3 linked regions of the Lepisosteus oculatus genome follow. The protein of the gene in region 3 binds, or shares a complex with, the protein of the main gene of each other region. Links are inferred from orthologs where the notes say so. Each region holds a gene or a part of one and is shown on either strand. Other genes may lie near its edges.

The links.
Region 1: the proteins of plxna2 (region 3) and nrp1a are in contact, whole or in part, in a crystal structure (PDB 4GZA), measured with the Mus musculus proteins. The link is inferred for Lepisosteus oculatus from reciprocal best matches to the Homo sapiens genes PLXNA2 and NRP1. Residues at the interface, in NP_032908.2 of Mus musculus: Asp273, Leu274, Phe275, Glu306, Lys341, Gly342, Gln343, Lys344, Gln345, His348, Pro350; in NP_032763.2 of Mus musculus: Glu78, Arg80, Asp81, Lys83, Tyr84, Asp126, Tyr127, Glu128, Thr129.
Region 2: the proteins of plxna2 (region 3) and sema6a are in contact, whole or in part, in a crystal structure (PDB 3AL8), measured with the Mus musculus proteins. The link is inferred for Lepisosteus oculatus from reciprocal best matches to the Homo sapiens genes PLXNA2 and SEMA6A. Residues at the interface, in NP_032908.2 of Mus musculus: Ala93, Cys94, Tyr95, Pro96, Lys155, Gln192, Asp193, Tyr194, Asp220, Phe221, Val222, Pro229, Ser230, Asp231, Leu386, Lys389, Val391, Thr394, Lys395, Ala396, Pro397, Val398, Leu407, Asp408, Ile409, Asn410, Gln411; in NP_061214.2 of Mus musculus: Arg108, Met109, Lys110, Gly111, Met162, Ala163, Thr188, Phe190, Leu191, Ile193, Tyr198, Thr206, Arg208, His212, Asp213, Ser214, Glu219, Gln266, Arg267, Glu270, Lys271, Lys393.

Annotation. Positions count from the first base shown.
Region 1 is NC_090701.1:39,059,765-39,069,563, forward strand, and holds the start of nrp1a (neuropilin-1a), read left to right. Parts: upstream 1-5,050; 5' UTR 5,051-5,826; intron 5,827-6,841; exon of another isoform or gene 6,842-6,994; intron 6,995-7,076; exon of another isoform or gene 7,077-7,324; 5' UTR 7,325-7,405; coding exon 7,406-7,478; intron 7,479-9,799. UniProt on the Homo sapiens protein: Cell-surface receptor involved in the development of the cardiovascular system, in angiogenesis, in the formation of certain neuronal circuits and in organogenesis outside the nervous system. Mediates the chemorepulsant activity of semaphorins.
Region 2 is NC_090698.1:53,819,480-53,829,455, forward strand, and holds the start of sema6a (semaphorin-6A), read left to right. Parts: upstream 1-5,817; 5' UTR 5,818-6,275; intron 6,276-9,976. UniProt on the Homo sapiens protein: Cell surface receptor for PLXNA2 that plays an important role in cell-cell signaling. Required for normal granule cell migration in the developing cerebellum.
Region 3 is NC_090700.1:34,369,105-34,379,494, forward strand, and holds the start of plxna2 (plexin-A2), read left to right. Parts: upstream 1-6,205; 5' UTR 6,206-6,761; intron 6,762-10,390. UniProt on the Homo sapiens protein: Coreceptor for SEMA3A and SEMA6A. Necessary for signaling by SEMA6A and class 3 semaphorins and subsequent remodeling of the cytoskeleton. Plays a role in axon guidance, invasive growth and cell migration.

The sequences.
Region 1 (9,799 bases), on a different chromosome or scaffold from region 3:
CTCTTTTGCAAGCAGGCTCACCAGTCTAAGCAAATACGAATGGGGCATTTTCTGTGTGTGTGTTCTTTGTGTGGATAGATTGGCGGCTCTCAGGATTCCTAGACTGAACTTGACCTGAACTGTAGTTCAAATGCTTACATGCCTTTCCTTGCCTTTCTGCACATTATGTCTAATTGCGAAAACTTAACTCTAAGTGTTCACATTTCTATTGCTGGTGAGTTATCCAATTCTGTCCCAGTTTATTAAATTTTCCCTCAGACATTTGCCTTTCTGTGTTACTTGTGGCACACATAAATATAGAGATTTTTTTCCCTTAGAGGATCCAGTTTCTTAGTGGAAGCTTGAGGATTATTGCATTAATAAAGAGTGAAACTTTACTTAACAAAAGTGAAACTTTTCAGTGGTATATATATTTACAATTAACCACTTGTCTGATCTTCTGGTTTCCTCTACAAATGGAGGATTTATTCTGTTTTGACAGTCCTAATTTAAATAATAAGGGCAGTATAAAATTTGGCATCTTGAAATCAGCAGCTTGGTTTTGTAAGTTTTGTAATACAAAATGCTTGTGCTGCAAATGTATTACGTTAGAGATGTTTAAATTGCAGTCCTAATTAGAACCCAGAAAACATACTCATAGAATCCCTCACTCATTATTAATTCAGGATCCATCAGTCTTCCTTGTGTCCCTAGAGAATCTTTAAATATTTTTTCTTGCTGTTATGCATATTTATGTATAGTTCCTAACCACTTCACTAAATGTCACTGTCACTTGTTTATTTCCTAATTAAAGCCTGATTTTCATTTGTGCATCTTTTCTTTTCACTGAGCTCCAACACTGCTGTAGTTGTCACACCAAAACTGTACAAAAACACTTTACATTTGTGTTTGTTTTCCTTTCTCTCATAATTACTACAAACGTGTTTTTTTTCATCTATTAATTCCATTCACATTTCATTTCACCTCACTGAAATCTCACTGGAGATAGATTGCTTCAGGCAGTACTTCTCCTGACCCCAGTCTAGTCAAATCCCCAATGTGTACATGAATAGAGGGGAATTTTAGCTTGCACGCCTGTAAACCTACCAGTATATAAGGCTAGCAGTACTGAAGCTAGATATAATAGTTGATGTGCTCAAGTCTTTTAGAACACATTCAAATGCAAAAAAATGAATGCTTAATTACCAATGTACATAAAATACAGATCTTGACAGAGACATGAATAATCTCACAGTGCTTTTAAGAGTAAGGTGCTCTATAATATAATATTATTTCCTTGTTTTGTTTTTCTAAATATATTTCTTCTTTTTTTTGTCTTTAAAAGCAGAGAACTTTGAACCTGTATGTGAACTTTATCACATTGCAAGGTAGCGGTAAATTCCACACTGAAAAGAAGAAAAAACAGGTTTCAAATCTTGTTTTTGGCTGTTGTGTTTCTCCTTTCTATTATTTCAGCATGGAATTACATTCTATTGGTCTTTTGCAGCCAACACACAATGACACAGCTCTCCACTTGAACCTCACTTAGCAAGGTTACATGTATGACTTCTTTTGGTATCAAATCTTTAACATTGTCAATGGCAATTGCCATTTATAGAGAATAGTTTATTACAGAGCATTGAAGGTATATACAAACATCTGGCTCAACCATGCACACCTCCTCTTTTGGATCATATATTTAGCTATCTCTTAAGAGCCTCTATTGTTCAGAGGAATGCTTTGACCCTTTTGACAGGTTTCCTTTGAATTTCCATTTGGGCTAATGGAACACTCTAACACTGTGTCAAAAAAGATGATTATCCGCCAATGCAAATTAAGCTTAGCTTCTTGAAAGTAGTGTAATGTGCAAACACTCATTTCTTGTGTGTATTTATGATGCAATGAAAGGTGAAGTTATACAGGAACAATCCTTGAAGGTCATGTAAACCGTGTAATATTAAGCAATTCAAAAGAAAAAAAGTACAGAAATGAATGAACAAGACAAAACAAACAAACCTTAGAACAGTATAATGTAAGTTCTGCGTTATAGGAGTAATGTGAGGACAGGTGTGACATATTCATTGGTTGGGGCACAATCCAAATACCCTCAGTCTTAATTATGTTGTTTTAAATTAAGTGTAGTTGAATGTAATATTGATTATTCATATAACGTCTTTTACAAGGTTTTAATTACCTTTTTGTAAAGTTTCTTTTTAATAACACAAACTTCTTTGTCCTCTTAACTTTTAAGAGTGTACATTAGTGTCTGTGATGTTAACAGGGGGTGGTTACATGAAAATAATTACATTGAAATCATTCAAACCATACTTTCAAGAATTGTCTACCTTTGTGTGCCACTAATCATTCTTTAGGGTCTTATTCAACATGATAGTATTTTGTCTAAGCAAATCCTTTAAATGGCTCTTTCACTGTTCAGTCACAATTCTGGTTCCTTCAGATACAGCAGTTGCAAGTCAATTTACACTTAGTCAATCCTATTGTTCACGTATAGGCTTTTTAATATTAGCAACCAAAAAGTCCAAAGTCATGTGAAAATGGATTTCCTGAAAAGTCATTATTTTGTTAAGAATAGATTAATTTGAAGAAGTATGTTACAGTCTGTTAAATTAATGTTTCTCCTGCCTAGAGAATGCAAAATTATTCTGAATTAAATATTCAATCTGTTGGATTACCGTGTGTTCCACAGACCTAACTTGATTTGGCAAATACAAAACTAATAATAGTATTTGGAGTGTTTGGTTAGCACTGTTTTGGATTTTAAATGTGTCTGTTGAGGACTTAAAATATATTTGTTTCTGTTTTCATGGAATGATATCTGACATAAACATAACCATCTGCTTTGACAGAAAAACACAGTAAATATTTTTCTCTTTATTAATACTATTGTATGAGGATATATTTAGTCCTCTTGGATTATCATTAATCAACAAAAAAGCAATGGAAAAATGAGAACAATAGTTAATGGAGACTTTATTCCACCGATATTTAAGATAATAAGTAGTCACAGCTGATCACATTTTAATAGAGGTATTGTGCTAAAAAAAAACATGTCCTTTGACATTACAGAACTAGTGCATAGCACTTGAATAGACCTAAATCAGATGAACTGATTTAGTCTTGCTGGCTGATTTTGACAGTATTTTACAAGGATATTTTCAACTTCTACCCACGAAGAAACATGAGACGTCATGTTGATTTGGAACTCACAGATAAAATAATTGAAAATCTACACTCGTCCGCAGAGATTGTCATTTCAAAAGCAGTTTAAAGCACTTTCAGAATAGTCTGGAATGCCACCTGTAAGTATAACAAATCTTCGGAGATATCCTCTGAAAATGAAGACACCTATAGACCATTAAAGCTTACTTGCAAGTTCCACTAAGAGGATAGAAATATATAGAAGTATCATTTGTCCTCAAAGATGACATTGGTCTTGTGCCTTTTTCAGTGCTCTGTAAGAATATTCTGTGTTTTCAATGAATTTTACATTCTAAAGACAGACAACATTGTCAATAATGGCAGATGGGCCTGTTTGTAACTCCTTTGAGCTGTCAGATGCATAATAAATTGAAAAAAAATATTTATTCAACTGGACAAATTGAACATTTTGTCTGGGTGTTTGTCTGACACATCTTGCCTCAATATTCCTGAAAACAAAAGTTGTCTTCCAGTCCTACTGAATGACATCACCTTTTGTATTTCTATTATTTGTCTAAAAGGTAAAGTTTACTATTGAGGTATTCCTGTATGACTCCCTTAATTGTGTTTGTGCTGTGTTTGGAATGCTGTCAGGATGTCTGGTTAGTTTATCTTTACCGGCTGGATGTTGCTCTCTCTGGCTAGGGGGTGTCTCCAGGGCACCCACGGAACTCAGGCTTTTCATCTTTAGGATCTACCCTGGTGTGTCCAGAAAGCAGGGAATAGAAACGCGCATAATTTTTATGGAATGTAAATGGTTTTGTCTGTGTGTGTGTCTGTCGAAATCTATTTCATTTGAGAAACATTTTCACTTGAAATGTACCTCGACGACTGCGACTGAATTTCATTTTAATTCTGCTGTTCATGTCTCATGCAGGTCTTTCCATTGTTACCATAAGCATTAGACTACGTACTGTATAATGAATGCAAGGCTTGTTAGGAAGCTTTTGTGGATATGTGCGATAAATGCTTTCAAAACGTTGCAATCAGACCCTTGTTCAACCTGAATGATTGACGCTATCAGATGTAGCGTTGAGGCGGTTTTTTGTGCTGCTGTTGTAATTTTGAAGCGTGTTGCTGTAATTGTGTGCTTTCCTTAAATAATTATACAAAACTCTTAAGCAGCTAACTAAAGCCCGATCATAAAAACAACTGCATTGTCTACCATATAATTTTATTGCCTGTGTTGGAATTTCATTATTCATACTTAAATGCAATAATCGTATGTCCACGTATACCAGGAAAATAAGATCCGTAACAGCGCACTGCTTAACTGAAAACCAAAGTTCGCTAATGGTACAGATATGGGTCAGATTCCTGTTTTCACAGTGCTAAAATCTTAAAGACTGCGGCACTTGCATCAATCTAATATCCAACTTCGATCAAACTCTTTTGTCACTGTTAAGGTAGTTGAGTAAACCAAGGAGTCCGCAATTCTTCTACAATCATGAAATACTTGGGTCTGTTTTACTCTTTGAATACTTTTCATCTGTCTTGTCTGACATATATCTGTTTTGGATAGGAGCATGTGTGAAACATTAAATATTGTAATGGGAACAGACATACCTTTTTACCAACTGTAAAGCTGTGTAGTGGAAGTTTATGTCCGAATAAAGCTTGAAATCCCTACTGGAGTTAAACATTATTCATTGGTTACATAATAATTTGGTTTTTTTTCATAGTCTCATGTTTACACACAACTGCTTCCGAAGGACTAAAATGCGAAAACAAATGTGGAACGAGCCGCTGCTGATGAACTCGAAGTTATACTCGTAGCGCAGAGGATTTAACTGTACATTCACCAGCCTTTGTAAGGAGACGCGTGTATGAGAAACTGCTGACCTATAGTCAATGACAATGAAGTTTCAGAGAGTATTATTATTATTATCATGTGGCAAAAAAAAAAAACAACCACGAAGCGCATAAATTAAACAGTGACATTTTTGACAACTGCAGCACCAATGTCACCCAGCTAGCTACCGCTGCGTGTCTGGCAAACCTGCTGTCAGACCCCGGCTTGCGGAGGCAATCCCAGCCGGCATAAAGGGGTGTGACCGAGCCGGCTACAGCAGACACACCGCGAACTCTTCCGGCGCTCGCACATCGTACAAAAGCAATGACGTGTAGGAGAACTTCGTTTCATTCTTCGGAGGAAGAAAGCAACGACGACTGCCCTCTTCTTCAAGTTCCCTCCGAGGGGGCTTGGTTTTAATGGGCAGTTTTCACTCCTCGTCGAGGCGATTAGGAATGCGAAGCCGGATCTTTCGGCAGACCCTCTGCTCAGTCCGATAGAGCCTCTTGAGCGAGACTCGGCGAGCAGCGGCAGCACCTACAGCGGCTGGTGGGGCGCGCGCGCGTGTATCTGTGCGCAGCAGCTTTACTCCGCGCTATCTGATCCTGCCAGAAAGGGAAATATTTAAGAGGCGAAGTGGCTTGGCTCACGCCGTCTTCAGATCCTTCCTGTGCTCCTTTTTTTTTTTTGACCGCCTTTGGAGTTTTTAGATTTTCGTTAAATCTGCTCCCTCTGGAGGATTGTTTTATTATGTGTCCCAAGCACTGAAATCGATTAATACGGTTCCCGCTTCGAGTTGACACTCACACTGGATATTGATTCGTAGACCTGAGCAGGTGAAGTAGTTTTATTCTTGCTTCTAGTGTTGTACAATATGAATGGAGATGCACAATGGACTGAGCGATAGCTTGCTGATGTGACTGCGGCTGTTTCTTTACATTTTGAAAATTGGTTACATTCTTCTGCGAAAGGACATCAATATATCGATTTGTATTTCGGTTTAGTCCGTATTATCTATTTCCATATCCAGAAGACGTCTAATAATGATTATATATTGGCTTTACGAATATTGAATCTTTTAATTTACATTCTTAATTCGGACCCTTGTGCCGGAATGAGCATGGGCTGTAGCTTGCCCCTTAGTTTGTTTCGTGTCATGTCCTCTTTTTTAAAAAAACAAATGTTACAACACTATTTTTCAGTCATCTACTCATTGACCTATTTATCTTGAATTTTATTGAGGGACATTGTATAGACTCGATCATAAACCTATCTAATTAAGAATAATACTGATGAGCATATTGTGGAAAAGTACGTTGAATTAAAATTTTACGCTACAAGACTTCAAGATTGGGTCTTGTAAATTTAAATAGCGTTAAGGGCCGTATTCCTTACGCCGAATATAAAGCATTCCTTTTTTTAACAAAGAAAAATAACAATTACTACAGATCGCAGACCATAATGCATGTCGTATCTGAAGACTTTAAGGATTATTATATGAGAAAACGCATATTAAATTTTCCAGCCTAGTGAAGTTTTTAAATCATCCATTTGACCAGTGATAAAAGTTGAATGGGGGGGGGGAGGCTTATCCGTTACTTGTCAAAAGAGTTAAAAGACGGTAGCCCGCTTTGTTGATTAGCAAGTTTCGTGACACGCAGGAGATGGATGCAACGCTCTTCAAAACGCGAATCGACGGAAAGTGCGCCTGTGTCCTGTCACTTTCGTGTCTGCCTCGTATCTGCAGAAGCGGATCTGCGTCTTAAAGCAGCCGCTACCCTTTCTTTGTTAACGAGGAGGGTTGCCCCGGTCAGTTTTGCATATTGTAATCAAACCAATCAGTAATTCGCTGGGGGAATTCAGCTGTAACAGCCCAGCCAGTGCACCGCAGTAAAAGGGGGGTGAAAAGTATTCTTAATTTAGGGGAGTATCACTCGCTTTAAATCCTTATAATGGTAATACCATTGTACAGATGTTTGTCTTGCCAGATTTGAGGATGTACATGTGAGTTTGCCTCGCTGAACCTCTCCGCTCTTTGCGATAGAACAGCGCTAAATCGCGAACCTTTTTTTTGTTCTTGTTGCAGAAGGATTGCTTCTCGGCTTGCTCATCATTTACAAGGGGGTTTGGAAAAAAAAAACGGGACTTTTTTTTTGTTTGTTTTATTGGCTTAGACTTCTTGACTAGGAAATGGCAACGCCAGCGCCCGGGAGAGGGACAAGTCTGGGGAAGGAGAGAGGAAATCAGAGCTAAATGACAGGATGCAGGCGACCTGAGACACAAAAAGACGCATTTCTACAACGTTGAGACATTTCTTTTCTTTTCTTTGCTCAGGCCAAGCAGGAAGAAAGAATACCCGACCAAGGATCATTAAGGAGTTCTGTTTTCTGTTTTTTATATATATTTTCTTTCATCATGAGGATTCATTGTGGATTAGTGTTTCTCCTTTTAACCGGAATCGTCCTAACTACCAGAGCTTTCAAAACTGGTAAGCGAAGACTGATGTCTGACTTGAATGACTTTTAAAACGTTATGTATGTTTGAGTTACGTCGTTCACACTAACACAGTTCGTAAAAGCTAGAATAACCATGATTAAAAAATAATTTCGAAAGCCTTTATGAAAGTGCAAGTGACCAAGTTTAAAGGCGATGTATCTGATCCCTTGATACAGGAACGATCCATTTTCAGTTTTGCGGAACTTTTCTGTGGTAGCTAAGTGCTTAGTGGTTTTCTATGCCCAAACAGGGTTCATTTTCATTAAAAGCTGTGGGTTGCATTGTTTTCTAAACGGATACTGTCTACTTTATAATATATATAGGTCATGTAGCCTGGAGAGGAGGTTCATTTATTTTTGTGTCACCAAAAACGCCTTTTGGAAGCCTACAGAATTCTGATGTCTGTGTAAGGAATGCAGCATCACAAGCGTAAGCAAATAGTATACTTTTCCAGTGTAACACAACTATATCTGTCAAACCAACTGGAGTCTTAGGACTTTGACTTAGGATTTTGCCACACACCAATCATGAATATCGGGATCTATCCTGTTACTGTGGTCATAATTATTACAATCAGAAGTATTAACAAACATCTGATTTTTTATTTTGGATACATGTTTAAATAATAGACACAGAGGTATAGACACTAATTCAACAATCAAGGAAACGTTTATTAGCAACTTGCCTTATTCGTATTATTTTCAGCCATCGTAACGTGAAGTTCCTTGAAGGTTACTACTACTATTATTTGTTAAGCAGACGCCCTTATCCAGGATGATGCGATACCAAAACGGCATTCACCCGTCATTGTGAAATGTGAAATTGATTTAAACTTACAGTAAGAACCGTGCATGTACCACAAGCTAAGAAAACGAAAGTTAAGCTGTATTACTGACAGAGCAGCGAAACTAACCAAACCACGGGATCGTTTGTCTTAAAAACTTGTCGGCCTTTTCGGCGCAAGTGGTGCTGTTCCATCTGCTGGCCTCGGTTAACTAAAGGCTATCAAGTCGGAACGTCGCCTTAAAGCACATTAACCTTGTCTTGTGCTCCCGGGTCCCCCTTAATGCGACTGTCCAGCCCCCTCACGCTGCTGCCCGCTAAATTAATTCATTATCCCGGTCCTGGGCTAATGGCTCTCAGTCATTAGGAGTTGTTCTTTCTAATCAACTGTTAGTGATGTTTCACAGAGACCTAACGCTTACCATTTTTCTGTCACTTTCTAAAAGCACGACTCCAAGCACCAAGAGACAAAGGTTAATAGTTTTAAAGACTTAAAGGGATTTCTGTCCTCGGATATCATTAAGAGTTCGTTTTAAACTACAAGTGTATAATAACAGTGCTCAATTATAGTCAGAATGTTAATAGTCTCTGCTGTAGCCTATCCCGCCCGTAACAAATTGAGTTTTTCAGTCTTGTCCTTTATCATAACGTTTGCTTAAATTGCATCTTATATGTGCTGTCTGAAGGCCCACTTTAAAGCTTTTTTTTCCTTTCATCGAATGCAGGTGAGTTCATTTCATCAGCTAATCTGTTATGAATAAAATATAGCTCGGTGGACAATAGCAGCTCAATAATACACTATCCTCCCCGGCAGGCAGTACCCCATTGAAGTGACAAATTCGCTACGTGATTCTTAGTTATTAGTTTTAGGCAGCTATTCGTTTACCGTAGGAATGATTGGAAGCGGCGTTTAATATTGCTGAACGATATTCTGAAAGCCTTTGTGTTAATATGAGCATATATACCACATCTGTTACATTCTTCCATTGCGGATATATAAAAAAATAAATTTTACTTCTTTACACCCCCTGGGTGCTCGTGCTTGGATAGCCAGATTCGTAATCTTTTAAGTAAAGCTTTCTGCTTCATTAAGTCACCTTGAATCTGAGAAGTCTCGCGTGTAATTACTTTTTCGAGGTGGAAGTGACAGGCTCCTTTGTATGCTGCCCCGTATGGTTAACGTTTTATTTTTAATAAACCAGGTGTGGTTAACAACAGAAACGGGGACTGACGAAATCGATTGTTTTTTTTTTTTAAAGCTGGCACGATTTTGGTTCGAAGTTATGTCCATTGTAACGTAGAAGTCGTCAGTGGTATGCATGGTACAGTGGAGTATGCTGTACACTTGCTAATTCAAGCTCTAAAACAAGAGTTAGATCGTCATGTAGTTTTGTGAGGAGGGCAAGTCTTATCTCTTCGCCGATTTTATACCGTTCCTGTTGGGCTGATAAAAAGTTTCCCCAAGCACTTGTACATTCATAAAGCCGGTGATCAGAAAGGGTGGTGGACGTGGCTTGGAGATCGAAAGTA
Region 2 (9,976 bases), on a different chromosome or scaffold from region 3:
GTAATTTTCCTTTTAGCAAAACTTATTGAATTCTTCTCACAGGGGGTTATAAGCACCTTTTTTTTGTTTTGCAGATGTCACTCAAATTTTAAAAAGTCTTTAACATGTCTTTTGTTTTAGGTAACCTACATAAGGACATATTTTTATGACAGCGAATGTTCTAAGTAACACTAAAGCTGGCGTCACACTACAGGACTCGATACGACTTCTAGTCGGAGAGCATGTCAATTTTAACGACTGCAGTTGCTGAATCTCGCTGCATTTTCTGTCCTACATGGAGTAAAATTATACGACAAGGAATCGCAGGGAGTGACTAATTACACGATTCATCACGGTTACAAATCCCATATTGCAGCGCAGGAGTACCTCGCCTCATTTTGGCAGCCAATCAACGTGGAGCACACCAGAATAAGGGGAGGGACAACGCACGAAAGTAATCAAACAACAAACACGAAACGACAAACGCGAAACATCAAACAGATATCTGTCCTGGCTCCACAGTACGACGGGCGCCTCCTCCATTTGCACAGTTCCTTCTTTCCTTACAGTCGCACTGTATGCTCTGTACTTCCGGTTGTGCACTCATTGGCTGTTGACTGTCGCAGACAGAAGAGCCCATCCCTATGACTTGCCACTCGCTACAAGAAAATTTAGCCAGTTTGTAGATGCTATGAAGAGCGCTATGACTGAGTCGCTGGGGGTGTCACACTACACAACTGACAGTAACGGGCATGTGCTGCAACTCGCTGTGATTTTTTTATGACTATGTAAATGAAGGTTACGACTGAAAGTCCTAGGAAAAGCCAGCATAAAACGTACTCTAGGAAGGTTTCGTTTAGGTTTACTGCTCTTTCCAGATGAAAAGCAATGTGTCACAGACACAGACAAACTTAAGATTTTTGAGACTTATAATTATTTTGGGAGCCCTTTTAAGTCTTTCTCAGTTTCAGAGTACTTTTTACTGTGCTATCTACTTGGTAAATTTATTTTGGAGAACCTAAGATATGAAGAGACATTTTGTAGAGACTTGAGGAGAAATGTTTTCCAGACAAAGTGATAATTGGTGACGCCAGATTCCTCGCTGTCAGCCAAGCTATTTTGGTTTTGTTTTACTGTGATAAACACATGAAAACTGACTTCATTCTTTTTATAAGGAACAATATTGTAAGCTGATGTGAGTAACTATTGACGATCCATTTGTAAGCATGTCTTTTTTCATAATTAAAAAGGGAAGGTATCCAAAATGCTCCTTTCATTACATTAACAATTTTACATTGCATTAGTAGCTAAAATTGTCTTCATTAGCCCTATAATCCACTACTCACCAACGCTACTAAGAAAGTTTTTATTGGTGCACTCATTTTTGCAATGAGATGTCAAAATAATCTGCCTTTCTTTGCCAAACAATAATACTAGGACTGCTTATTGCATATTAATCAATGTATTTCTTTGCAGCCATCCACCTCTTAATAATCTGTATAAAACACAGGCTATTAAATTATCATCATAGACCTTTTCTTCCTTGACATTGAGAACACCAGAACTGAACATGAATTACAGTACAAAATAGATATGTATTGTGAGATAAATACTATTTTTTCATGGTTGCACTTAATAAATCCTTTAAAATACATTTATATATGTAGCTGTTAAACACACAATCATCTTTGTTTTTTTATTGGCATGTTATCTCATTCACTGAAAGACAAATAGAGGAAGTATTAAAAATAAAAGCTTATGTTTACTTTCAAGTACTTTTAATAAAACACATATTTTCATTAACATCTCCAGACTATGCATAGCTGTGTACATTTTTTAATACAAATGTTCTTTCCCTTACACTCATATCATAGAACTGTAACTTCAAAGTTTCTAGCCTTCAGAGATCTCTAGACTAGCTGAAGTTCACAGCTTAGAAACCCTGGACTGAGCTGGCACTGTCATGAAAATGTGCCATAGACCTTATTTCATGCCAAGTGTTTGTGGGACAGGAAAAGCGCAGATAGAAATTTAGTGAATCTAAAAGACAGGTCTAAAGCTTTCTCTCAAGACTAAATGATGTGAAGTACTTTAGAATGTCATAGGCATTGTGGAGCCACTCTGTAGGTTGAAAAAAACTTAAGCAGTAAATAAGTCAAATATCAGTGTACTTATCTAGTACGATTATACCAGATAATCACATTCAATCTTAGAGTCTGCAAGAGAAGTTTCATCCAATAAGATTTATGTGTGTGGCTGAGTTTTTGATTGTGAAGAGCTTTTGCCAACATGAAAGAGACATACTTTATAAGCAAGCAATATAACCTTTGTGCCACTGTAATATGGCTACTTTTGCATCTATTTACTTGTGAAAAAAAAGAATGAGATTTTATCAGATGTTCCATGAAGAACAATGTCATCCCGGATAACAACACAATCTGGTTTATTGCTTTTCAACCAAAATATGTTGAAGGCAACAGCTGCACAACCCCACAGATTCATCATCTAATAGTATTGTTTTCTCTAATAGTGGAAGACAGCCTGGGATTATCTTTTCCTCCCTGCACTAATGTTTTTTTCTTAATACATACAAGTTAATTGCTAATTCCTGTTGTCTGTCTCACATAGTATTCTTTGTGAAATGTAAAGTTATGTGTCCAAACCTAGCCAACACTTATTATTTTATATTGACAGTCAACCCAACTTATTCAGACTTATTCAGAAGCAATAGTGAGATGTAAAAAGAGGACACAAGTGGAACTACTGTAGAATTGGAACAAAGAGGAACTTTTGAAGGATTGGAAAGAAGTAATCTAATTGGCTTCTTTCAAGAAACAACTGGAAGAAATTTTCAGACTTAAGTGACCTACAGTAAATGGGCTTAATAGTCTCTTCTCATTTGTAACTAACCTTTCTTATTTTCCTATGTTCTGAACTTTGCTGCTGTGTATAGAAAAAATCAGGAATCAGGAAACCGGCTAAAGTGAGGCACAGCCCACATCCTTAAAGGCAGTGGGTCAGCACACCAGCCCAGGAACGTCAAACCTATCTTATCCATCTGCATAATCATTTTACTTCAGTGGCTACTAAACAAGAAATTCCAGGAAGAAATCATTTCTAATAATGGATTACAATGACAAGACTTTAAGAAAACAACTTTGAGGTCTTGACGTGGGCAGCATTTATCTTGATCTAAGTCCAGCAGGACATTTGTGGGGAAGCACTCACTAATCCCATCCCCAGCAGACAAAATGAGACCAGCCAACCTTTGCAAACTGCACAAAACAAGGGGGAAAATCCAGCTGTATTCTGTCCAGAAGCTGTTTTCTTCAGAATTTCTATTGACGCTGTGTGATATCTGTCTTTAATACTTAATTCAGTCTGTGAGAATAAAGAATTGTTTTTTTGTGCATTCGAATATGTATTTTAAAAGATATAATCAAAACCATATTTTAATTTTTTGCTTAAAAAATACTATACTGTATGGAAGCTGACTAAAGGATCATCATTGTTCTGGAACCTGTGCTCTGGAAGTTTTATTATAGTAAGCATTCTCTTGATACAAACGCGAATGTACAAAACCCACGTGAATGAGTTCCTGTATTTACATGCCCTCTAGATAAATAACTATCCAGTGAAGGTAGACTAGACTCACAAACATCACTACCCACCCATGCATGCCCCTCACCGTCCATCAGTGTACATAAAGAGTGCATTCTTCAGATAAAAAGTGGCCTTTACAACAAGTGAAACATTGTCTAATCCAGTGGCAGTGACATGCTGCATAGGAACATAAGAAAGAGTGCATGCGACAAATGACCATTTGTTTCATCTCATTTTTTAGTTTAGTAACTAAATGAAACTAAAATTTTGTCCAGCTGTGTCAGAAAAGTGCTCAGAGTTTTGGCTTCAAGAACCTGGCTGGGAAGCTTGTTCCAGATACCCACGATTATCAGTGTAAAGAAATCAGTGTCCATCCTGAATAAATTCCCTTTTAGTTTCCAATTTTGTAAAACAGTCCCATGGTTAAACCTATCTATATCAGTTTGAATCTTGTATGCTTGAATTAAATGCCTTCTTGACCCCTCTTGTTCTATACTGAAGATATTTAACTCCCTTAGATAGCCAGTATTTGGCAAACCCCCGAAACCAGGAATTATTCTTGTGTCTTTATTTTGACCACCTTCTAAGGCTATAATATACAGTACTTTTTGTGGTGTGGTGAACAGAAGTGAACATAATGTTCTACATGAAGTCTTATTAATAAAAGGCTTAAATATAACTACCTTGGATTTAAATTCCACATTTTCTGTTATATACTGTATCCAGGATTTCTGTTTACTTTTTTATTGCAGCTACAAATATTGATAAGGATACAGAAGAAGGATACATTAATATCCATGTCACTTTCTTCCGCAGTTTTCTGCATCTCCTAATCACCCACGATTGACTACAGTTGCAACGGCTGGTTATGTGACATCCCGTTATATTCTATACTTTATATATTACATTTTAAACGAAATTACATAAAATAGAAAGCAGCCTGGCTACATTGGTTTCGCGTTTGTTTTTGTCTGATTAGTGATACGATAATCTCACGTGTACATATAACAGGGGTTTTGAAAAAATCATTAAATCGTTATTTGTTATAAATCAATTGATATCCTGATGAAAACGTATCTCAACTTATATTATGATCTCCCAGGTACCATTAATCATCTACGACACAACAATCATGTAGAAACAATTTTTAGCAAACCTTTTGCTGGCTAAAAATAAGCAAAAATAAGAAAACTGAATTAAATTTTGTAAGTAGTTACTATTGTTATTTACTTCAATTGAGTATTTTTTAATTGACTAGAAATTAATAATATCACTTTCTGTTCACCCATTAATCATTTTAGAAATGAATCATTTATAAACTATTTCGGTCTTCAACACTGTGTACAAAATCACCTGTCGTGTAAAACAGTGCGTCTGTATTACAGCCTGCCAAGCCTGTCATCCGTGCGCTTCGTCATTACTCCTATAGATAGATTGCTATAGAGGTAATCCCTTTACAATTGCGACTTTGAAGAATTGAGAGGGATTTCTGGAGATGTATTTTGTATGAACGAGAGTTCTTGTACCACAAATATCGCACAGTGTGCTAAACGAGCAGCAGAACATAGTTCCTTAAGAAACATGGGTTTATGCACAAAAAACAAACCATGTTCAGCACAACTGAAATCGCAATACCGAAGCAGCAACTTTAAAAGGATTTGCTCTCCTCTTCCCTCACAGAACTGATTGGCTATTAAGGGGATCAGGGCGATTAGAAACACTGTGCCTGGAAAATCCCAGCCCACCGGAGTTGGGTTTCTTCCTCCATGACAAAGGAGAGTTTAAAAGACCACAGTTTAGCCGCCTAGAACTGCATTTCGTCTGCTTTTCGTTTCAATAAGTATACGAAACTTATAAAGCCACATTGTTTACCATGTGTAAAACTGTAGAGGAGATATTTTAGTTTCCTACTGAATTGTTGGTTCCTTCCTAGAAACTGCGCACGTGAGACAGGTGCATTTTACGCATCATTAACCCATTTTAACGACAACACAACCAGGACATCAGGGTAAAACAAGGTTTACCTATAAAAAACCATTGAATTATTGAACATATAAAAATAATGTAAGTAGTAATGCTAAGTAAAACTCACTCTCTATTTCTATTTTTTTTTTAAATTATAGACGTTATGGTTCCGTTCAAGTAAACATTTGGTAAATACTGTATGGACGGTAGCACAAGGAATCCAAATCCACATGACTGTGATCCAGTCTGGAATTTAACTCCTCCCCATTTGTAGCGAGTGACAGCTGGGATCGGTGTGCGCTAGTAAGAAACCTTCATCTCCAAATAGGATGACTAGGAGCTTTTGTGAGGAGCGGTGTGCTAGCCTGCTGCGAATGAACAGGGTTCGGGACACTACATGGTCAATTCTTGGAGGCAAGATTTATTCTGTTTCGGTTTCCTTAAAGGATTTAAACAACATTGGCTTTGAAAGTGGATTTCTTCTGGATTTTCTCGCTTGAAGAACAAAAGTTGTTGTTCAAAGCTCCCTCACGGTCTGTATGACAAAAGCGCGTACTCTTCACAGATTTCTAAAAGAAAATATTCTACTTAAACACTCATGTAGTTATACGAAGAACAAAGATACTTTAAATCGGAACTGCCCAGGCAAAATCTTAAATGGATTACTAACGGGACGGTCTTGCAGCTAGTTCTGCTATCCTTGCCTGCTGCCTATTCATGAGCAGGAGGTAGAGTATTTTTCTTAAGTTTCTTTGCATGCGTGTCTCTGGATTGTTTTTTTCCTTATATATAAGTGTATGTATTATTATTTTGCATATTAACACGACGTTGTCAAATATGCAACTTGTACAGCAAGGCTGGCTGCATCGCATATTCTCTTTCATTCGAACAATGTGTTTTCAGGGACTATTCTATTTGTAATGGTCTGCCTTTATTTTGTATAAAGCAAAGCTATTTTCATATTTATTTGATTTTGTAATCACTCTATGTTCAAAGTCCCTTAGTTAAATATAGAGACATTTTCCACTCCGTGTTTTGCTAGAGTAAAATACATGTAGTGACAGTTTTACTGTGGATATATTTCCCATCTAAAAATGTGAGCTGCTCAGCTTGTAACTTGGCAGTGTTAGCTACTAGGAAGCCTTCATAAAATTGTGAAGTCCTGTCGTAAAGTTAACAGAAACATAATATAACACTAAATAATTTAAAACATATCTCCACTTAAACTCAATTTTGTCTTTCAAGGGAAACATGTTCTCACGTCTGCTGGTTTACAGAAATGTATCCGTATATATGTGATCTTAAATAAATCCTTAAGCTTGGGATTTCTCATGTTAGCGGAGTGACTTTATGTGCCCCTGAAACAAGATGAGCAACAAAACTCATCTTGTTTTATGTATATTTCCAAATAAAATTTAGAGTAATCTGCGCTGAGTGGTCCTGAAGATTTTCATCCGTGACACGGAGTCTTAAACCAGTTGCTAATGTGTTTGCGTCAGTGCTATTGATACTGTGTACATCAGACTGTGCATTTTACAAGCGAGGTTCCTTGTATCTGGAAGAGATTTTATGCGTATTGGGCAAGTCTGTGAGATTCAGCTATTTATTGATTTTACAGCAACTTCAGAACTTGTAAAAGTTTAGCGCAGCTTTCCTGAAGTCCAACATGGCGAGAAAAAACGTACCTTTTAGGTCAAGGCATTCAACTCTGAAGTTCGGGCAAAACACTATGCCACTTGCCTTAAGAAGTTTTAAGGGACTAAAGTAAAATAATATTCCAACAAAACACCAGCTTCCCAGAGGTACACGGACCCAATACACGCAGAGGCTGTCAGGATTCAAATGCGTGAAATTTTAAACAGAACCATTAGTCTTTTATGATAGTGTCACAATGTATAGTCGCAATGTGCAGTATAACACTAAACCATGTGGATAATTAAGGAGTTGGCATTTGTGTTTAAACGAAAAATACCATATGCTTTAGGAACTAGTTCTTTGGAAAAAGAACGTAGAAATATACAGTATTAGTCGAGTGCCTGTTTGCAGTCTGGTCTCGGGTTTTTTTCTTTCGTTACATTAATTTGAGCCATTTGTAAGCAGGGGAAGAATAAAATGAACCACATCCCCTGGGTAGAGCACAATCGCTGACAGCAACGGTGTTAGGATTAAATTGACCCCCGCTAATACGTGTGCCGCCTTGTAACCAAGTCATGGCGCTGAGCGCATCCTTTCCTACGAGGGAGGTGTGTAGTAATATCACAGCCTTTTTGTGTCAGTTGAAATACATCGCTATTTAAATATATCTATATTACAGTCTTAAAACCCCTTTCTATCTTTGTGCACTTAAAACGGAACGTTTTCGGGAAGGAAGTGAAAAACGTGAAACGGCATAACAGAATAGGTTCAACAAAGATTTGATTGCAGTTATACTTCTTGGATAACTACCTTTCTGAACACAGTTCGTTTTACCTCGGGTTTTTTCATAGGTAAATAATGCGTAGAGATCAGACACCAGGTTAAATGGCAATGTAATTATAAATTACTCACTTAAAGTATTTATAAACTGTAAACCAATGTAAATTCATTCATGCCACTCAGGTTTACATCTGTTACTTTGAAAAAGGTCAGCATTTCTGTTGGTTTCATATAAAACTTATTTTATGAAATGTGTTATCGAATTGATGTAACATGTTAACCGTTTAATGACTTACAGAGAATCGGAAACCGACGACGACTATTTACAATAAAGACGATAATGTTAAAAATGTAAAGCTACGGAATCTGTTTTTCCCACGTTATTTTTACCCAGTGCGATCTTCATGAGCATCATCTCAAAAGTGCCTTTCTAACTCGGGGTACTTTAAAAGTTAGCATTCAAATGCTTTAACCCAAGAGATCTTGAAACCAAATAGTTAAAAGCAGTTCCTACTGAAATCTGCATTGTAAATTAGGTTTTGTGTTAAAAGAAGAAAGTTAGAGCTTCAGAATACTATGTAAAGGGATTAAAATACAAAATGAAGTACTGTATCAAGATGATTAGCAGACAGCCATCCACTTGTCTTAAATTATTTTGTGATCATGCATTTCTTGGAAATCCATTGTCCTTATTCAAGTGTCTGGCAAGTGCACTTGGAGTTGGGTTTGATGTAAGCGCATCTGTGCTCGTCCTGAGTTATGGCCTTGCTAGATTGTCACTGGGATCTTCATCTATTAATCATGGAGCCTGCTTTCTTATTCGGTTGCCATAGTTTCAAAGCCTCAGATAGTGTTGGGGTGCCTTGGGAATGGCTGGAAATATTGCAGGGCAGTGCTCTTAGCAGTCATTTTCAATGGCATCATTTGCTCCAAAAAGCATAAAAGCTTGCAATATTGTGTTTTTTTTAATAAAAGATTTTATGGTGAAAAAAATCCCATGGATCTCACCGTAATTATGCCTGATATATTTTTTGTATGGATCTCAAGCCATTTGGTCTGTTTACGTAGTAGTTTTTTGGCCTCACACTTGAATTTGCTGGTAGTTTACAGTTCAAAGATTAATGGCTGCCTTTGCTGCCAGACTAGGGAGGCTTTTCATTAGAATTAATGAAGAATGGCTGGGCAGAGGATTGAATTTAAATATTGGCAAAGAATTTCTGATAATGTCGACAATGTGCAGAGAACATTTCTGTTTCTCTTACATTAAAACAAGAAGTATACTAAGGCAGTTTATCTTTAAATCTGTTTGTTCAATGGAAAAAGGTATTAAGCCAAAGTAATATGTGAATTGATAGATACTTTATTGATCCCCTGAGGGAAATTGCAGATAATTAAAAGTTTAATGTATAATTGGATACTTTATTACACTTGAAACCCTTGTGATGAGAACAAGTGTTTTTCCTGAAAACCTGTTTTTTATGTTAAACCTGAATTTATAATGAAGAAAGCTTTGCCATACACTCCCCTCAAAACTGAGAAAACCTTTGAATATGGAGTAAATGTGTGAAGTTTTTTCACTTTATAGCTATCAAAGATCTTTTGTAGAGTAAGTATCTGCAACTCTGTTCAACTCCATCATTTTCAATAGAGATATTAGTGTTGCAATGCAAAAAAAAAAAAACACTTTCCTGATCAAAGCTTTCCTTTTTCTGAAAGGCTGTTCTTATTCATATCCAAGTTATGATTTATCCTAGATTAGTCCAGGTATTTAGTATGTAGTAGAAACTACTTTGATAATATAGAATAAGAACCATTTACTTTGGTCTAGCTTATATAGATATATAAGTATCTGACTTTTGGTCTCATAGTGATTGTTACAGTAGTATGAATTGGATTACGTTTGATAAAAGTGGTAAATACATGAGTTGCTTGTTCTAAGACCTTTATGTAAACTGTGTTGGTCTAGTGACTGAATAGTATTGTATCCAACTGTGTCTTCGAATGGCTTCCACTG
Region 3 (10,390 bases):
GAGCAGGTTCATCGTGGACGGTGTTACTAGCTGACTGTGACCAGGATTCACAGAAGTTCTTAAGTGAAGTTCGGGAGGCACGGCATGACAAAAACTAAGCCTTTTGTTCAACATGTTCTAAATCATAATCATTCCTGGCATCATTTCTCGAAGGTTTATATACATAAGGCATACGCAAATCCCTTTGCTTTTTGCATTTTCTCTCCTGCATTATTAATTTACTATGGTTTCCCACCACAGTCCAGTTAACTGGCTTTTGTAAAAACTTGGCCCTGGTGTGAGTGTATCTGTGTCTGTGTCTATCCTGCAATAGACTGGTGTCCCATCCAGGGTATATCCAGCCTTGGGCCCAATGCTTCCTGGAATAGGTTCCCAGCCACCTTAATAAATTAGATAAGTGGTGATGATTATTCATCTTAATGTGGACCATGCGCCAAACAACAAATACAGAAAGAAAACAGAAGGAAAGGAAACATTTTTTTCTCATACAAGTACTTGATTTGTCAAAGCATGGAACATGGCCTGGAATGGAACAAAAATAATCTACTCTGACCTCCTGAAACAGCATTCATCAGCATTTACTGTATATATGAGCATTTAGAAGAGTCCAATTGTTCTTGACATTATTTTCCTGTTGCCTGCAAATTTCTGATCTTCCATTCTACTGTACATTGGTGGTTTTGGGGTTCCGCTTTTTTAATTCTTTGGGGTCCTAGGTTCCTTGTTCTTTGGTCCCTCAGCCAAGCCATATAAGCCAAATTCAACAAACATCCAGAAACATGTTAAATTGGTGTGTGCTGATACTCCTTGTGAACCAGAAATATGTCTTAGATACACCAGGATCTGGAGAATGAGCTTCAGTCAGCCAGGGTAACCATCTGTTGTTCTATGTATTGATGAATTTTCAATCTAAACTGTAATTTGCTCTGTGTATCCATTATTATTGCTTGTTCAAATAATTCTAACAAATTGAGTCCAATCGTTTATAAAACTTTTCAAATTGTTGATACTATTTCCATACAGGTGATCCTCAGGTTTAACTCTAATAATCTTTTGAATAACCTTACATTTAATAAATGCCTGACATCAATTTACTTATAATTACTTGATTCAGTTTTCTCATGCATTTTATGGATGGAGGCTACATTAGCAATTCTACTACAATCAGGTATGACTCCTGTCTTGGGACAACTGTTGTCTTGGGGTAAATATTGGGAGAGTTGCATTAATGGCTTCTGAATGAAATATATTGATTCCTTGAGTATGATTTGTTCAGTCTTGATTGTTTGAAAAGACAATATATATATACAGTATGTACAAGCATTTCCTTTCCTAGGCAGTCCAGCAAACTGAGTAAGAAAACATTACCAAGTCTACCATTTCACTTTCAGCTGCTGACATTTCTATAGGTTTTCACCAGTCTACAGTATGTGGCAAAAGTTGAGGTCTTCCATTAAAACAACTTCTTCTTTAACATGTTGATTCTTAATTTCATTATACAGTATTGAACTGTAATCAATATCTGCATTTGGTGGTCTATTGCATACTCCTAGAACTATACCTCTGGAAATTGTAGGTTCCGAGACTCTTGATTCCCCTAGCTTTAGCTCCTGACAAGAATACTCTTTTTTATACATAATACTGCACCTCCACTCTTCTATCCATAATACTACATTCATCTCCATCATTTTCTATTAGCTCTGTTTCTGCGATTCCAATCTCATTTAGGTGTAATTTAGGTGCATCTGTACATATGTACATATGTATAGAAGGGCTCTGCCACTAAAAGATTTTGAGTTGTCAAGAATGATGAAGGGTTCTTCAGTATACCATGTCCTCATCGGTGTGTTGTAGATCCTGAAAAAAAAAAGTTAATTTAGCCCGTTTCATCAGTTTCTTTCCAGGTTGTTTTAATTTGTTCTGGATGGAAAAATATGTAGCATATTTTGCATTGACCCAATCAGTCAGTTGTGCTCCAGTGACTGGTGACCTTTGGAATGTTTTTAGCTTACATAATGCATACGAAGACCTTCCTCTTGTGCATGTTGTCCAGGCATTGTTGAAACCAGTCAAATTAGTTTACACGGCTCAAAACACCGTAGGCAAACTGTGGGATCCACCTTGAAGAATGACATGGTGTCTTTTCAAAGTTAAGGTCTGGCATCACAACACAAAACCCACCACCACATCACATTGTGAAGTTTAAATGGCCCTTTCGAGGTCACATTTATAGAACTGACAAGAACATTCTCCTAATTCTTGCAATTACAATTCTTACAAATTTCTCAATTTACATTAAGAAGTACAAGCCTTCGTTGTTTGAGTTCTCATGCAACAAACCCAGCACATTGTCAGAAACAATGCTGTGTCTAAATCTCTTGCAGTGCTAAATGTACTAAAAGAATCAGGCCTCTCTGCATGCCCTGATTCTAACAGTTCTGTACACTTTTGGGGTAGGACTGGCTCTTGGAGATTGTGATGGGTTTTAACTGTCCTGTCAATTGAAAAAAAACTAATTTTCTGTTAAATGCATTTGCATTGTCTGGGTTAGGATTTGTAAAGCAAACAACAAAACCAGTTCCCCTTTGTTCTCAGCATACATTTAATTTTAAACTGGAGTTGTTCCTAACAAGAGACAGTATTCCCAGTTTAATATAACTGTGGTTTGGAACTACAGTGGCAGGCTACACTTAATGAGTGACAGAAACCAATATTTTCAGTGAAAGAAATGAGATAGATGTTTCGTTTTTATGTGGTATTTGTTTGGACCTTTATTATTATCTCACAGGAAATATGGACTGTAGCCATGTTTTAAAAAAATCTCATTAAATCTGAGCAGGGCTTGATAGTACCCATTGCGATCCGTTTCAAATGCGATATTACATTACTGTCTGTTTAATCTACAAAGTGTGTACAGTTTTAACCACTTCGGTGCCTCAGTTCACTCAGGATGTTAAGTCTCCAAGTTTTGAACAACTTCAAAATTCTTTCATGACTCATTGCCCTAATCTTAAAACAGGAAAAGCTCACATTACACCAGATCACAAAATTTAAACTGTGTTTCAGAAGACTCTTTAATCTAGGTAAGATCAAATTACTCATTAGCAGCAGTTAGATCATTAAGCCTCTGTGTGCAGACAGGTGTGTCTGAACAGCCAGGAATGTGTGGAAGATTCTTACAGTACAACTTCATTATCACTAATTATGATTATTAATTTATTTGGCTGATACTTTAATCTTTAGCAATTTATATTTGCACCCATTTTTACAGATGTGTATTTTAATGGAGCAAGTCTGGTAAAGCGCCTCGCTGAACAGTACAACAACAGTGTCTCACCTGGGATTTGAACAGATAACCTACCAGCTCTTAGGCTCAGAACCCTTACCACTGCTTCCTAAATTTATCTATAAAATTGGGAAAGAGAAGTGGATTAAATGCTTTTCAGACCATATTTTGATAATTTAGTTGAATTGAATGCCTAATGTTTTGGAACATAATGGAGTACAACACACTATAGGTAGAAGTAGTTCAGGTGGGTAGCTGCATCAGCATGCGTAAGCTGCAAAGGAACAAGTAATAGGTTTATTCCATGCTGAAATGAGAGGAAAGAAAACACAACGTTTCAGGCAGTGGAGCCTTCTTCAGGTACGTTATTCATTCCTTACTCTTCCCCATTGGATGAGATGTTAAATTGAGCTCCTGACTTCCATAAATTAATTATTAAAGAGCCAATACCATTTCTGTACGAGTATGGGTGTTAACTGCGGTGTCTTGACTAAACTCCAATTTGGAGTTAAATAATCTGACCTCCCTATTAGTGACATAATTTCTCGGTTCTTGACCATATCTGTTGTGTAGTGGGATTGTTGTGCACCAGCCACGTGCACTTCAGCGGATCACCATCCTTATGTAAATCCTTTTGGGGTCTTTGAAAAGCACCATGCAGTTATGATCAAGTAATATACCTTTTGTTTAGTTATATTTTCTCATGTTTATAATTCCACCTTCACTTTAGTTATTTTGTAGATATTAGTCTAGAAGTTCACATACAGTTATGTTTATTAGTATCCATCTACAGTGCAGCAGACAAACGTAGATGGATAGAGAGAGAGACCTTCTTTCCTATAATAATCCCGTTCTCCTCATAAGGACCACAATAGTAGTACGATTTACGATTAACAAACGTGCAATTCTTACATTCCGCCCATAGGTGGCACCATTTCGATAGTTTTCAGATGAGGCTCAGCTCTTAGGCACAGAGAATACAGCGCAGTACTGGCGACAAAGAGCGCATCCAGTTGTTGGGTAATGTATGCTAATACAAGCACCTTTAAACGCTGTTCCTTTATGATAAACTCGTTGCTAAAGTCGCTTTTTAGAATTATGTAGTAGAATTGTGTTTTGCTAGATAATCTAATCAAAGGAACATTTATTTTTAAATCATCACTCGATTCCACGCGTCTTCAAAATCTTGAAATGTGCATTCCATTGTTACTGGTCTCTTACAAGCAACTGAAGCATTGGTAGCCTATTTTATATGTTTTTTTTTCCTCAAAGTTTAAAGTCATGTCATCAAAGAACATACTTTAAATTTCAGTTAAAATCTTTACTATTAAAGTTCTTCAGTGAATATAGGTGAAAGATCCAATATATTACACAGTACCTTTACATCTGGGGGTGTTTTGCATATGACCATACACAGATATGTACAGTATATACTGTATGAATGTGAATACGTTTCTGTAGCTACTCTAGAATCTATAGAAACATTTGCATTACATTCGTAAATTCACCGTAAATCCTAACGGACACGACTTGATTGGACGATCGAATTCACATACAGTACTATTATTATATTACATATACCGCAAATTTGTGAAATTGTTGGTGATGGGGGTCCAAATTATTTGTACGAAAGTACTGTATATTCTTACTGTCTAAACACATCACATTAATGATATAAGAAAAGTGAATTATGACAGGAAGTGGAAATTAATCTGACATATATTACTGTATATTAATGTTCTCTGAGTGTCTGATTCGTTGTTTGCGGAAAAGCAGTTGTGCTATTTTTAGAGGACCACTCTTACATGTGCATTAAGTTGGAATTACACTGTATGTTATTTTCTTATCAGAAATAAAAAGCGTCATGAAATTATGTAGCACAACTTATTTCTTACTCTTTACTCAAGACAGATTGAATAATAGAGATAGTAAAGAATATACTGGTTGGCGTTGCAGTTAAAATTCCTGCAAACTGCCTGTCAGAAAGTTATCTTGTAATGGGGTTAAACTCATTTCTTTGCCTCTTACTAGCGTCAATGGAGCCAGAGAATGATTCGAGTTTATTTTAAGTATCTTAGACAGGAGACCTTTTAAAATACACATTCTATCATTCCTTTTTCACCCTTCGCAGCGACATCAGTGGTCCACATCGCGAAGAACGCTATAGGCTACTAGTGAAGAACGGGCAGGCTCCAGGCTATACATTTCTTTTATCTTGATCGGTGAACAGCAAGAAAAAAGAAGCTAAAGGAGTCGAGTTAGTTTACTGTGAGAAGCAATAAGCACAGGAGAACTGCTTCCTACAGCTGTAATAATAATAATAATAATAATAATAATAATAATAATAATAATAATAATAATAATAATAATAATGGAGTTTCAGCCCTGAGAATCCAATACCTTTTCAGAATGTTCGCTGTTAGCTCTGGGGTTAAGGTAGCAGTATGACAGCCGAAACTTTAAAGCTTTATGAAAAGGGTAAATTTTAGGCTACAGTGGATGTAATTTCGCTAGGGGTGAGATAACCCTGAAACGCAGAGATGAATGTGTGAAACAGCATGAACATGCCCATGCGTCGGCTGAGCCGTTAGCTGTCCTTTGCGAAGCGAAATCAGTGAAATTATCCTTAAACTAATGGTACATTTCGGAAGTTATATTAGAAGCAGCGGTAATGCCGAGATACCCCGGTTAACAGTTGCATTAGCAGGCGAGAAAAACGCCTTACTACTAGTTTTTGATGTGGTGCCGCTTTTGGGAAAAAAAAAACTGGGAATTAATAATATCAAATGAAAAGGATAGCAGCGGCGCTGGTCCCCGAAACGGTTAATAGACTGCATGCAAATGAGTCCGTATGCTAAGAGAAGACAGGGGGTTGGGTCTGACGCTGTGCTGTGAGTAGAGTACTGTGTGCTGCCCGTGGTTCGGCTAGCACTGTGCCAGTCTAGCATTAAAGCTCGGCGGAGAGGGGGGAATATGTGTGTGTGAATTTCTGCAGGGAGGTTGTAACCCATACCAAGGAAAACGTACGATGGCAAGGCAAAATAAAGGCGAAATTAGAAGGGACTGTCTTCTAAACTGAAGGAATGTTCAACCTCACAGCCCGCCTCCTGCAAATAACCATTACAAGTCTTTTGAATGACAATTGACAATAAGGAACATGCTTAAATGCCAATATCAATATATAATCCTAAAGCGAGCAAGCAAGCGCGAGGCACAGTTATTGGTGTGCTGGAGCTGAATGAATGAACCAGCGTTGCTTTGCCAAGATTTTCCACGAATTCTGAAGGAATACATTGTGCACGAACGTGCCGTGTTCCGTCCATACCTGACAGCTAGCTGACTTACCGTGGGATTCTGAGCACTTCGGTGTGGAATTAACTAGGAAACGGGCATTTTTTGGAGGAGAGGAAGAAAGCCGCACAACGTAAATTGACTGATTTAAGAAAGAAACGCAAGCCCATCTTGATGCTGAATGGTGAGTGTTTTGAACCAGTGGACACATCGCATGTGCCGGTAGTATAAAACAAGAATGAATTTAGCCTCTAGTACTTAAGCATTTTGGTTTAGTCATGTTAAATATTATCGTGCTTCACTTACTGTACGGTAAATAACTGTTCCAAAACCCACATTTTGACTTAATATTTTTACTAACAATACGGCAACAAACTAAATTCCTCCGATGTGACATGTTGATGGTGCATGGAGTTTATTATACCAAGAACAGGGGGAGCTTTTGAAATATTTTAAGCACTTACAGTAACATTTTGGCATTCCAGTTGAAATGATTTTCTAAAACTCTCTGTTAACGGGATTGTGTCTTATTTTTTTTGTCATTTTCTCAACGCTTTGTAGTCTTTATACTTAGTATGATGCTGTGGCAAATTTTATTTTTTCTTTATAATACATTTTCTTTAAAACTGTCCGGAATACAGAATGTAATTAAGAATTTATTCAGAATGTAGTGTAGATACCCACATGTGATCATGTTCATGGTTTTGACAAGAAGGAAACCCCAATGTTTTAAAGACCAACTCTTATTTATTATTCGTTACATTTTACATTTTACACGTGAGTGTATACTCGCTTATCTGCCTGTACAGTAACACGGTTTTCAGATGGCATTGTTCTTTCTTAGAAATGCCTGTCTGCGCGAATTAAGGATTCGCGTTGTACTGTGGAAATATTTCACTCAATTATTTATTGGCTGAGTTAGTAACATTACATGCTATTTTGTTAACATGATATTTATTTTCTGCTAAATATTAAGACTCTGTCGGAAGTAATGTAATACCACGAGGCATTAATATAACCTTGACTGAGAATCTGCTCTTCAAACCAGTAAGGTGCTTCGAGGCAGTGAAGTACCTGGCTGAACTGTTCACGTTATTTGGTGTAGAAAGGTTTAGGATTCGGATTGTTTTCTGAGATAGGATAGTTCTGCCTGTTGTACAACCAATTTCTGAAATCGTGAAAGGAGCGGTCCGGCTATTTTTTAACACAACCTGAAATAATGCCTATCTGTTGTATACTGTAAACACAAGATTTGATTTTGGCTATTGGTTCCAGTGAATCAACTGGAGATGTAATCATCTTGATTCTTTGAATTAAGACCCCAAATTAGATTCCCTGGATATTTTGTGGTTAAAGATGAAGGCAACACTGCATAACAAGGACACATAATCACCGTCAAAAGAGCTGATATAATTTATCTTTGGTTCTTCTATGAATTGATTATGTTTCCCCCTTACACCTGATCCCAGCGATAAACAAAGTCCTGTGTGTTGTCTTTTGGTCCCAGACTCTGTAGGGTATGATGTGATTCCCTTTTTGCAAATGGAATCTGATGTATTGTTGCCAACTGGAATCATTCAGAGTTCCAGCTCCTCTGTTTCAGGACCGTTCATCTCATCTGTCGGTGACAGTGAAATAGCAGATGTACCCACAAATCTTCATTTTCCTGTATGGAGTAGTTAGGTTGCAAGTCGTGTTTGACACAAGCTCTGTAGATAATAAATGCAGTTTAAGGAGAAAATTGCTTGGCATTTGCATTAAAACAACTTCCATCTGCTGTGATTAGAAGAGTGCACAATAAGTGTGCAGTTTGTATAATAAACCCCTTTATCTTAACAAAGATTTACTAAGATAATTTTTTATACAATGCATGACCTCTGCACATAATTATTTAAATATCCATTTGCATCGTTAAACAACATTTTGACCTTCGACCATTGACTCACAAAAATTGAGTGAAAATTGCTGGGTTACAAGAATGGGCAAACCACATGCCAATAGCATATTTTATCACAGACACACAAAAACTTTGAAGTCTGAAACTTCTTTAGTCCAAAATCTCTAGAAAAAACTCCACTTTATTCCATTTTAAAAAAGCTCTAAAGTCTAAGCCAGATAACATAGACTTATCAGAACATCGGTGGGACACTTCTTTGAGCTTTAGATCTTACAGGAGTAAATATCAAAGAAAGCTTTTGACTCCGCAGTGCATCATACATGACACTGCTGTGTTTGAATATTGAACATGACATTATTGCAGAAACCATATCACTCAGATTTGGACACGGAATAAAAAATATATTTAAAATTGATCTGCTTGCCTTAAATTTATATTGTTGTACTGTATTATGTGTTACTTTACTGCATAGTACAGTATGTGCACGCGAAGCACACGCTCTGAACAGCGCACTGTGCAATTGAAGTTTGTAGCTTGTTAAAGAAGATCACTAATTTAAGGAATAAATCATTTTTATATTTTACTCTCTTTTTTCCTAATTCTTAGTGCACTTTTGCCCTCGTATTTCTGAGTGTACACAAGGCAAACGCAGATTAAAATTTAATCTTATCCTGAGTTTTCTTTACTTTTATTCATTTTTTATGACTTTTTTTCTTTGAAGGTACAGTATGGCTGTGTTTTCTCACCTCGCCAGTAATGCCTAGGAGAGTTAATAAATTGATTCACTCTTCATGTAGACTCTCAGTTTATTGGTGTCACAGACTGACTTCTGCACTTTTTAAAGGAGCTGTAAATTAGAAGGCTCTGTATGTTGCAGTACTATGTGAGCTCTTTATGGGCACAAACCACAGCACTGCAAAACAAACATCCTCTTTTTTATATGTTGACTCAAGACGGCCACAAATGATACAGTAAAAGGGGTATGGTATCTAGTAAACCAAAGCAACTGAATCTAATTTTCTTTACTGGAATCCTTCTATTCAAAAGTATCATTAAAAAAAATATTTTAAGTTCAGTTGCTCGACAGCCATTACTTGACATTTATAATTCTTCGGGTTTTCGCTTGTTCCCCTCAGCAAGTGCTAGAAAGTGCGGATCAGTGCTGTGTTTAGCACGCTTACTGTACATCCTTGTGTACTGTGCAATAAATTGTCTGTGTGGTTCCTTAAATGCTTCATAGCCCAGCCCTCAACAATGATATCAGTCTGCCATTCTGCTGGAAGTTGTTTCTTTAAAGGATCAGTTCTTAGAAGAGAGAAGAAAATAGGCTGGATCAGGAGCAGTTCTGGATCTTAAGACTGCAGACTGTTTAATCAATACGGTTAATGATACAAAGCTGAAGAAAATTGAGACAATAGAGACTATAAGCATACAGCTACTCCGTCCTGTAGCCATTTTTCTGTATTATTTGGTACTTAAACTCATGCAAACCAAATGAGTTCCTACCTACTCTTTTGAGCAGTTACATCCTTATCGTGTCGACCAGTTGCTTTGGTTTCTGTTCAGATGGTCGCCCCTGGTTAAAAGGATTTTGCCTACAGTGCCTTGATCTTAATCTATTGATTTGCTTATGGCAGTTCATTACATTAACTGTTTCCAGCTGGGTAATTTAGCTGTGTTATATTGTGGTATTTGTCTGTCCACTTTCCTGATTTCCAGTGGCATGTGTATTTTTTGTTTTGGGGGGTGGTGCTTTAGCAAATTTACAAAACCTCTTTCCCCCAGGCATAAACCATAAATTTGAACTACCAGAGTATTTCCTCCTCCATATATAGAAGAATCTTAAGATTTTTCCTCAACTGACTGCTTGATTTAAGTGAATTACCTATCACATGCTAACCTATCTTACATAAATA